3 linked regions of the Oryzias latipes genome follow. The protein of the gene in region 2 interacts with the protein of the main gene of each other region in a biochemical or structural test. Links are inferred from orthologs where the notes say so. Each region holds a gene or a part of one and is shown on either strand. Other genes may lie near its edges.

Region 1 (4,268 bases), on a different chromosome or scaffold from region 2:
CAAATATAGCATTTAAAAAAAATCAAAATGAAATAAATAGATTATAATAGATATTGGAAAACACCAGGGATTCTTTGGATGTGGAAAAACAACAGTGGTGAACTTTAGGAAACTAACATGTGAATGGATTTGACATTCATTCTAGTTTACTTGTTTGTTTGGACACAGATTTCATTTACATTTGATGATCTGGAAGAAATCCAAGAATCTGGAAAACTTCACTGTTCAGTAGCAGGAATTTCTGTCTGAAGTTTGGACAAACACGTTCTGGATCCATTTAGGTCAGACAATCGATCAAAATGAACAAATATTGATTCTGAATCAGATCAGTGACCACAAATTAATCGTTGTTAAAATGAATCGCTGCAGCACTGCAGATAAATGTAGTTAAGAATAAATCTTGCCAGAATACCAACGACAGTTTGTGAAAACATTTAGAAGACTTAGAGAAAAGGTTTGAATGCTGTCATTGCCAACAAAGGTATGTAACAAAGTATTGAGATAACCTTTTGTTATTGACCAAATACTTATTTTCTACCATAATTTACAAATATTGGAGGATAAGGATTGAGCCCTTCAGTTTGGTCCTTGGTTGTTTTCTTTGTTCTTTATTCTCTGTCAGAGTTTGTGTCACAGTCACACTACATTCAAGTTGTTGATCGTCCACAGCTGCCCAGTTATGGCCCACAGCACTTCTTTTTGTGGCTCGAAGTATAATAAAATGCGGCCCACGAGGGCAGTGGACCTCTCTCCCCCAATCAGAGGTCCACTCAACCAGATTGCTGTCAGCCATCCCTCAAAAGGACTGATAGTTTTCGGCTAGTAGAATCCCCAATTCCCACCAATGCAGCAGCGTTGGGTTGTGGGCTTTCTGTGTTCTCCAACCACATTTAATGCTTTGTTCATAGCACCAAAAGCCAATGAGCTGAATCGGCTGGACCAATCTAAGCGGGACCGGACTGTCCTCAGGGAAAACTGAGAGTTTTATTTTTAAGTGTAAACACACTCATCTAACAAGTACACAAAACAAGCTCTCAATGCCAGAATAAACTTCAATTACCCTTTCGGAATTAAAGATTTCTGCAGTTTCATGTATTCCTTGCTTACCACAACAGCCCAGAGTGTAATGAACCGCGAGACAGCTGTCAACCTTTTTAGCATTCGCCATCCCAGAACCCCTCACCTTTAACGTGCAAGATGCCCCTCCTGTGCTTCAAATGGAGCTCATAGAGCTGCAATACAGCTTGGACCTCCAAGCCAATCTCAGGAGGGAGAGTACAGAAGTAGACAAGCCTGGACAATTTTTGGGAGGATTTTCTCCCAGCTATTTTGAGTTTCCCAAAGGATGAAGCCGACCGTGTTCCTTTTTGGGAGAACATATTTATGCAAAAACTTCTTCTTCACCTTGAGCTTCAGTAATCCAAGTGTAGATCTAGACCTGCCATGATCATATTGAGGAGCTCAGCTGTTTCCTCTGTCAAACCAAATGTGGCTCAGATATGTGAGAAGTGCTGCCAAGTCTGGAGGCAAGAGAAGCCACGTTCAGAGGCAATAATCCAAATCAGTGCTCTCAGGACACTTCATGTTCAGAAGAAATAATTCAAACTGTTAATACAGATGTTTTTTTTTTATCTCCCATGTGGCCCAGCTTCACACAGACCCCTGCCTGCAGTGCCCCCTGGGTAAACTACGTTTCAGGCCTCTACCATAGAGGCACCAGACAGACATGAGAAATGAAGGTGAGAGAGTCAGAAAGAGAGCCTCCAACAGTGTTTCCTTTGAATTCCTGAGCAATAGTCTGTAGGTTTCTAGTACAACTTAAAGTGAGCTGGTCCATGAAGGCACCAGTCTGTTCAGCAAAACTGTAGAAAAGTTGCAAAAAGGATTCAATCTGAAATTGGATTAACTTGAAATGACACCATAGCTAAAAGAACAAACAAGTTCTCTTCTGAAAACAGCAGCCATCAGAGAAACAACAGGAGTTCAGAAACTGCAAGGAGGAAGGTGCCGGTCCTTCCTTGGTTGGGGCCCTCAGAGCTCCAGGGCTGCCCTCTCCATCTAGTAACGGAGAGGCTGCTGCATCCCACTGACTGCAGATCCACGCTCCATCAACCTCCGTGGTTCCACGGTCCACTCCACTTCACTCCCACTGACTGAGGAGCTGCAGAGAGCCCGCAGATCACGCATGCAGGACGCGGCAATGCGTTCAGCTTTTTAGGAACTTTATTGGGTCATAGAACAACACAAACCAGAAGGAAAGTGTCAAATGTGTTTAGTCACAGACGGGGGGCCTCTGTGGCCCCTGGTGATGGATGCCTCTTCCGCTGGGGTCCGAGGCCCCTAACAATAAGTCAGGAGGGTTCCGCTCTGCCAGAAAAGGGTTAAACAGTCCTCTCAGGGAGGGGCGCCGCGTCCCTCCACACTCAAATGCGGCAAACCCCTCCTGTCCTCCCGCCGAACAAAACAAACACCCCCCCACATAACTGCCCCCGACCACTGCTCCTAGTGAGGTGGAGGGGGGGGGGGGTCACATCCTGACGCAGCACCAGCAGCAGATCATTCATGCAGAGGACAGAATCCACAGGCTGAAACTGTGGCGCCAAAGTCCGCCGCATGCTCCCACCGTCTGCGCAGACGCTGCCGGCTGTTGCGCACATTTCCACTCACCTTTGCGCTGCAGAGAAACTGGTCAGACTTAGTTCCCATTTCGAGAAAAAGGTTTAAGAATCCCGTCTTGTAGCGCAGCTCCTCTGCTTTCCTCAGACATCCACACAGAGTAATCCCGTCTCCCATCCCGGGGAGAGCGTCTCCAGGCGACCCTCCATCTTCACACACTCCTTCCCAAACTAGAACCCCGCTCCTTTCAGCACCTCCTTTTCACTTTTACTCCCCAGTCCTCCGGCCCCTCTTCTTTCCTCTCCCTCACTGAGGTTGCCTGGTTACTTCTCTCTGTAGGATGGATCAGACCGCCGGCCGCCAGCCAATCACAAGGCTGCCTCCATCTTAACCCCTCCACTGCTGAACTGTCCTGATTTTCCAGTTTTCAGAGTAACAGTGGAGTGGAGGGGGGGGGAGGAGGAAAGCCTCGTTTTGGGATGAAAAAAAAGATTAAAGATATAATGAAGAAACTGAGATGAAAGAAGCGATTAATGTACAGAGGTGAGGTTGGATGCAGATTTGTGAAAAGTTGCGAAGGGCATCCGTCCTGGGACAGAAAAGGGGGGATTTTTTTTTTTTTGGACAATCAGTACATCCAATGATCCCTATATTCTCACAATGGTCAAACTTTCCCATCATCACACAGCCACTTCTTCACTCTGCGTACTCACCAGAGCCCACCCCATCATGAATGCATAGAGGTGCAGCCAGCTCCAATCACTCACTGAGCCTCTTGACTCGATAACCACCCACAACTAAGTCTGCAGACCACAACACAAGTCACCCACTCGGCAAATCAAGATGAGGTTTTGTATTTTCTCTGTTAGTGGAGGCATAAGAAAAATTTAAATCTGAACGATTAGCCAGCTTGTCTTTATCTCAGCCTGTTCTGATCCTCCTCTCCAAATCTGTTGCTTTGGAGAGTTTGTGACCCTTAAGGCCTGTTCACACCGGGACGAATTTCACCCGCGATCTTCGCCGACGTTTAACGCCTCGTGACTAAACAAAAGGCACAAATGTGAGTGTGCATACCGACGCGAAAAAACGCCACGCGTCAAAGCGTCACCCGAGGCGAAAAAACGCCTCGGGTTCGTTTTTCTTTTTGGTTTGACACGTCGCGTCGAAATCTATTCGACCAATGAGAATGGCGCTTTTGCACACGTGTCTGGAGCTTCTGAAGTTACAGTAAAACACAACTTGGGTGCGCTCAAACACAAAACTGCCTTGCTGAGCACACATACCAGTGAAGAAGATAGACGCTGAGTAGCGTCTACACTGCCGCAAAGAAATAATGAGGGACATTCTAAAATATCCCTGAACCAAGCAGCAGTTGGAGCAACTGGTGCTTGAAATATGTCATGATCGGATCACGTGACAAACCCAGATGCTGTAACCCGGAAGGAGGAGGAGGCAGGTAAGTGAAAGGGAAAGTAACTGGTTTTATTTTGTAGGAGCCAGCGGATCTTGAGGCGTGGAGCGTCGTGGGACTAGATGGAGCAGATCGTCAGCAGGATGGAGGATATGTAAGATGAAGGCAGCTCTGGATCTTAGCTTTGACGTGGCAGGAGTTCTTTGGAGGCGTAGAGGAGTTCAGCTTCAGCTCGGGTGGT
Region 2 (3,652 bases):
GAAGTTTAACACAGAATATTATTTTTTGAGATGTGTCTATAGAATCCAACGATTTTACAGTAGCAAGACCACAATAAACTCAAAGACACCAAACAGATTTGATGGGCAAAACCAAAAAGAATCCCCAGTTTTGTGTGTTGAGAGAATATATTTTGAGTCCTGTTGCATTAAAGCTATACACCTGCTAATGCCCCAACACTTACTTAAAATAGAGACCTTGGCACCACACAGCTGACTGCGAAGGGGGACAGCTTTTAGCAGCTTTGCTTCATTTGAAACCACATCCTGACATCTAAAAAGCAGGATTTTCAACTGACCTGTTTAAAGGGAAACTGAAGACAAGGAAAGAGCCGGGTAGTTTAACCTTTCTGGTTGCATTCACATGCCCTGTTTGTGCTCTCCCTACTTCTAATCTGACATGCTGCCATGGAGGTGGCTAATATGCACTGATACCCAGCCGAAGGTACAATGGTTCCAGTTTAAACCAATGAGAACCACATTTCCAGACACAAGATGAGCATGCCAGAGAATGCATACATATGGAGAGGGCTGCTGAAAAAAATACAGCATGATTAGTTCAGACTAGATCAAGTTCCAAAAATTAGACCTTGGTATGTGGACATCATACCTGCCTATCAGACTGCTCTCAAGATTAGATTCTATTACATATCTACTTCCCTTCATTATGAGACAGCCACCATGGGGCCAAAAACGACCCTGTTATTATAGTATCAAAGTTTCTGATATTTTTTAGGATAACGCAAAAAATTTTGGCCTTTTAAGCGAAAGTCTACCTCAAGAATGTGTTCAAAGAACTGAGCTACTGACTGTAAGAGGTTCTTCTGCTTTGCAGTGGTTGTTTTTACAAACAGAAATAGCAGAAAATAGGACATAAAATACCTTATTTTGAATGGTATCAGTCCAGAAGATCAAACGAAGATTATAGTGAAAGTCAACCCCGACCGCGATCCCTCTGTTCTGTGAACTGATCAGAGCATGCTGACTGTTGCCGTGGATGTCGCCCATTATCAGGTCTTTGCCATTAGAAAATATCAAGGAAGGAACTCCAGCTAAAAGAAAATCAAAACACAAAGAATTGTAAGACTTATCAAATCAGAATCATGAACATTCAGTTAGAACCAAAAGTCAAAAACAAGTAATCTGGTTTACAGTAAATAGATTTTCTACGAAAAGATTAGTGTAAATTTACTAAATAAAGCTTATGGGTCATAATGAACGGAGAAGTCACTATTGGACACTACTCTCACTAAAGCTGGAGGGAAAGAGGTCAGTTAAAACTTTTCTGTAAGTGCAATACAGACAAGAGTAACTAAAACAACACTGGCCATGCAGCAATGCACCAGAGAAGAGTGTGGGCACTCGCTGCAGCCACTGACAAAAAACAGAGTTGTGTAAAGGTGGCCCCCTCTGATCATCTTTTGTAAAAACCTTCAACAGTAAAAGCATTTAAGTATAATTGCCGTTTTTAGCCACAAAAAAAACCCTGTGTTGTTTAAGGCAAAGTTTTTGTCGAGCAAAAGGAAATTCACCTCTGAGTTCTGGGCAGGACTGTTGGCGCAGAGTGAGTCTACCTTCATTTCCCATCATCCCTTTTTCTTTCCCGCTAGCTGACAGCCCCTCACAATCCAACCTAACATTACCAGTGCAACAAACACTGCAAGCAGTATCAGAGCTATCCAGCCGTACAGTTTTGAGCCAGATGACATTATTTCGCCTGCTTCTGATTCACCACAATTCAAATGACTTCAGTTTTAATCAAAAATTTTTTTAGATATGTCTTCCTCTATGAGAAAAATTCTAGAAGAACATGTAAAAAAAACTATTTTCATTTGAATAGGTCTTTAAGCTATTACACATCATCAGATGCATCATTTATGTTCTTACAGTCTGAACATAGGATATTTACAACAAAATGATGAGTGCCACTTACTCTGGATGTCAGCTCTACAGTATCTGTGCTGCTCCAGAACATAGCCCTGCAGACAGCTGCAGCGATGTGAGCCGATTCGGTCCTCACACACTTGGTCGCACTCTCCCCACATGGAGCAGTCATCAAAATCTTTACATGGTGCCATAAAAAAGTGGATTGAATGTTTAATTCAATGTACATTAATAATGTAATGGTAAGTTGGGAAATGTAATGAAAGCAAGTTACGGAAGGATTCCTACCTACACACGAGCGACTGTCATTGCCGCTGACAACATATCCAGATGGACAGGAACACGTTCCTCCATCAGGGGAAGCATGACAGCGGTGCTCACAGCTCAAAGAAGCACATCTCCAGATACCTGAACAGAGCAGAAATCAAACCGTCAATGAATATGGACGCTCAAAGTCAGCTTGAAAGAGGACGATAGGCTAACAAGCTGCATTTGTACTGACTGCAGTTGCGGCTGGCAGTGGTGTTGGTTTCATCCTCTCCATCAAGACAGTCAACTCTGCCGTCACACAACTTATCCATTGGGATACATTTTCCAGAAGATGGGCAGGGCCATTCACCCGGGTAACATTCCCGTGGGACATTATCTACAGAAAACATGAATGAATAACCCCTTTATTTTGAAGGTAAAATGAAGTTTAAAAAACAGCAGAGCTTAACATGCAATTGTTTTTGTCATTAAAAACTTTGGATTAAGTATGATTGCGATCTCAAAATCACTTAAAAGTTATCAAAGGGAGTGAAGCTGTGTCTCTGTGTGCGTTTGTTTGTGGGAAGGGGTAAATAGAGGCCTTTTGCAGCCTGTCTCCTAAAAACCCAGTCTTCACAGCCATGTGGAGGAATTCTAAAGCCCTTTGGGGGGGGGCTGGACAACCTTCTTCCACAAAGAGTCATTTGAATATCACACTTAAAAGAACGTAGGCACGAATCTTAGCAAACCAACCAAGGGGACTACAGATGGATCAGGTTTCCACAGCTCAAGCTTTTACTTTTTTTAGTGGTATTTAACCACCGGATTATCTGAGATTTTCTAATCCCAAAATATGCAACGTAAGCACTTCATTTGAACTTCTCCATCCTTACCACAGCCTTTTTCATCTGCGTTGTCTTCACAGTCGTCTTCTCCATCACAAAGCCAAACTTGGTGGATGCAACGACCACTAGGGCAGGTAAAATAGTTCCCTTTGCATGTGGGATATGCTGTTTAGAAAAAACCACAATAACAGTTTGTTTTTCTACTTGGTGAGAAACAGGTCATTATGGATATGGTGGAGTAAAGCAGATCAGCACGAACTGCAGTTGAGCTCATCGCTGCGGTCTCCACAGTCATCATCGTGGTCACAGACGTAGCGTTGAGGAATACACAGTCCATTTTGACACTGAAACATTCCCGCATTGCAGTGCTGTGCTAAAGAAAACAAAACAGAGGGTTTATCTAGGGGTGAGTTTATGCCTTTAGTTGTATTCAATGAGTATAAAAGGCTATTGCGTAAGATTGATCAACTGCTTACTGCAATTGGCCTCATCCGAGCCGTCACGGCAGTCAAGTACATGGTCACACCGCTGTGTCCGGTCGTAGCAGGCCCCATTAGTGCACCTCAGTTGTGTACATTCAGGGTAATCTGTAAGATTAACCCATCATCAGTCCAATGTTAAGCACTCAAATCAGCCTGACAACTGTGCTCTTCTCC
Region 3 (3,152 bases), on a different chromosome or scaffold from region 2:
AGTCACTCAGTCCAGTTCTCACATACAGGACCTCGTACTATAAAATCATAATAAAGTAAATTTGGAGCCCCCAAACCATAAAATCATGTAAAAGAACCTTATGGGATATTTGCAGCTTTGGTTCTGAGAGGCTTTTGGTAGGATGGATGAAGAAAACCAAAGGTAAGGTAAAAAGCTGATATTCCTGTTTCATCAGAAGCTACCGTGGAGCTGCAGGCCTCAAATGAGGGGCTACAGATCTGCATAACTCCCCTGGGGTGGGTTCATTGTTTTAAAAAATATATAAATGTAATATTTTGTCAATTTTAGCCAATATTTTTTTATTTGTTTTCCAATGCTGATGCTACTTTATAAACAGGCTGGTTGCCAGATTCAAAAAGAAGAAGAGGGAACTAAAGATGAAGGTTATGATGACCTAATTATTGCTTGAATAACTTTGATTTGTTGCATTAGATTTATTTTTATATAACACTGATTCTTTCATTATTATGTTATATTTCAATGTTTCAAAGGCAAAACAGATATGATCCGTCGCATTAACTGACATTTGCACCAAATGCAATAGGACGTTCCAAACAAAGTGTATAAACGTTTATTTGCTTCGGGTAAAACGACTAAGATGCAAAAGAAATAATTACCTGCATCCTTTTTTCCCACTGGAGTCCAATGTCAGGCTAGAAAATATATTTTTTGTTATACGTAATCAATTATTGGAGTTGTATGAAAGTCCAAATGTACTAGAACTTTGTCCCCAAAGGGCCACAAAAGAATGTTGTACTTTCAGAGTAAAAGCTGCCAACAGGTCATTCTGAACATTTTTCTTCTACTTTTTACTGCTCGCTCCAGTTTTTTAACCCCTTCAGACTGAAAGAGGTGTTCCCATTTTGGCCCCGCCCACTTCAACACTGTGGAACCGATGCCAGCTCCATTTCCTGTTCATACTTCACATTAGAAAATTGATACCAATTTGGAGCAGGATTTTAGGAATTATCTGGTTGACTAAATAAAAGCAAATTTAAAAAGCATTAAATTCCTCTTAAATCGTCATTTTCTGCATGAAATGTTTTTGTCAAACAAAAAAAACTTACTTATTGAAAATAAAATCAAGAAAGAAATCCACTTTTACTGTTCATAACATATCTATTTAAAAGGAAAAAAGACATTTTTAATAGAGTGCCTTAAAGCAACACATTTATTATCACAAACACACTATTCCAGTTTCTTCTCTTTTTCAACAATCTCAAATCTTACAACCTAGAATCTCGTCTTCAACAAATTCATTTTATGCAAACAAATACAAAAAAAGGTGCGCACTAAAAACGTCTGCAGTGTTTTCCCTGTTTCAGGAGGCCTTCCCGTTGGCAGCTAAAGAGCACAGCGCCTCACAGCAGGACTAAAGGAATAAAACCTATGAGAGGGTTCCAGAGTGTTTGCAGAAGCAGGGCTTGAGGAGGAGCAGGAGGCGTCAGGGTTTGTCTCCGGGTGAGCTTGCTGTCTGCTTGAGGTCGAAACATTCTCTGGTCAGCGAGAAGCTTCGGGTTTTTGGTTTAAACCCAGTTTATTTGACAACCCTGAGGAGGAACAAACCATTCTGAGTTACCCAGAGGAGAGAAACCTGTATTTCTGAGTGCAGGCTTCGGCACTCACACGCTGATTTCTTTGTAGCGGTCCAGAGCCTCCTGAGCCACCACCTCAGAGAACTTGGGGTCGGTCCAGGGGATCTCGCCCGGAACTGTGAACGTCATGGGCGGGGAGTCGAAGAGCTGCACCTCCACACTGGTTTCTGCAGGCTTCTCCTCCGTGGGTGAGTCTCTGCTTATCACCTGCAGAACAGCCAGGAGGCACTGATGAGTTCACTGCAGGAACCATTAAACACTGGCCACGACATCAAGTTTAGGTCAATTTTGGAAATCTAACAATCCTTAAGGTGCAGTAGTTAGTTTTTTTTTATATCTGTTCTGGATAAACAAGGACAAAGACAGGTTCAAATTCACACATCATAGGATAATTCGCCTCCAATCCAATTTTGTCAACCCGTAAATTATAGATATAATTATGTTAATTAAATATGTACCCATTTGGTCGACACACTGCATCCTTTTAAGCAGTTTTATGGGTTTAAAATCCTTTTAAGTAAAGAAAAATCATCAATTTTAAAGTATTTTGGAGTAAAAAAGTCATAAAAACTGCTTTTTATAGGTACTATATATTTATGGTAAACATGACCAAAGTTCAGCTAAACATAGACATCCTTCCATGATTTCAAAAGGTTTGACTGACGAGCTTAATCAGATATATAAACAAGAATTCTCTAGAATCGTTCCCGGTTTGTTAATTCCGTCTATGGGAATCACCAGACTACGCACCGCCTTGACTCGGAAAAGGCCGTCTTTGGTGCTGTTGGCCAGAGTTGACACCCAGCCGAACTGCTTGTTGAACATGTCCAGGATGGAGGAGGTGTTGAACAGCTGCTCCTCCATCCTCTGCAGGAGGCTGGTGTACTGCTGCGTGAAGCGCTCGGCCGTGGCCAGAGCCTCCTCCAGCTCTTCCTTCAGCGGGCCCTCCAGAGGTTTCTTCCCGTCACAGTCTGCGGACAGGAAAAGCGTTGGAGAACTTCCGCGCTTTAGAACCACCGCCGCCGTGTGGGGTCAGCCCTCTCACCCAGATGCTGGATCTCTTTGCACTTCTCGCACTCGTTGCGGAATTTGATGCAACCGGCTGAGTTGCGGCGAATCTCTCTGCAGGTCATCCTGCCGTTGCCAAAAGGTTTGGTGACCACCACGTCCTCGTTCACGTCGCCATCTGCTGTCCACAGGAACACATAGTTTGGAGAGAAATTTCAGCCAGGGCAAATATTATATGCAAACAACACATCACCCACCCTCATTCGGGACAGGGTCGCTGCTCATGTCCATCATGGAGTCAAAGAAGTTCCTCCCCATCATGGGGGAGAACAGACTCTGGAAGTTGTGGAAGGGATCTTGGAACAGGGAGCGGATGCTCCTGGCGCGCCGAGCGTACGGAGACAGGAAATGGGGAAAGAAGAAGACGGGAGGGTTCAGGTGGATGTGATCGGCCACCTGGAGGACAAACGAGGAAGTTCAGCGTCTCAACAAACCAACTCCAGAGTTTCCATTGGTGGTTCTTAAGGC

The links.
Region 1: the proteins of lrp2 (region 2) and dab1 form a complex in vitro, tested with the Homo sapiens proteins (2 studies listed by BioGRID). The link is inferred for Oryzias latipes from reciprocal best matches to the Homo sapiens genes LRP2 and DAB1.
Region 3: the proteins of lrp2 (region 2) and clusterin form a complex in vitro, tested with the Homo sapiens proteins (3 studies listed by BioGRID). The link is inferred for Oryzias latipes from reciprocal best matches to the Homo sapiens genes LRP2 and CLU.

What each region holds. Positions count from the first base shown.
Region 1 is NC_019862.2:3,647,133-3,651,400, forward strand, and holds the start of dab1 (disabled homolog 1), read right to left. Parts: upstream 2,929-4,268; 5' UTR 2,668-2,928; intron 1-2,667. UniProt on the Homo sapiens protein: Signaling adapter of the reelin-mediated signaling pathway, which regulates the migration and differentiation of postmitotic neurons during brain development.
Region 2 is NC_019879.2:21,664,368-21,668,019, forward strand, and holds part of lrp2 (low-density lipoprotein receptor-related protein 2), read right to left. Parts: intron 3,584-3,652; coding exon 3,473-3,583; intron 3,370-3,472; coding exon 3,256-3,369; intron 3,162-3,255; coding exon 3,045-3,161; intron 2,549-3,044; coding exon 2,405-2,548; intron 2,311-2,404; coding exon 2,191-2,310; intron 2,081-2,190; coding exon 1,952-2,080; intron 1,071-1,951; coding exon 901-1,070; intron 1-900. UniProt on the Homo sapiens protein: Multiligand endocytic receptor. Acts together with CUBN to mediate endocytosis of high-density lipoproteins. Mediates receptor-mediated uptake of polybasic drugs such as aprotinin, aminoglycosides and polymyxin B.
Region 3 is NC_019882.2:19,519,669-19,522,820, forward strand, and holds the end of clusterin, read right to left. Parts: intron 3,081-3,152; coding exon 2,882-3,080; intron 2,806-2,881; coding exon 2,662-2,805; intron 2,588-2,661; coding exon 2,367-2,587; intron 1,824-2,366; coding exon 1,648-1,823; intron 1,572-1,647; coding exon 1,559-1,571; 3' UTR 577-1,558; downstream 1-576.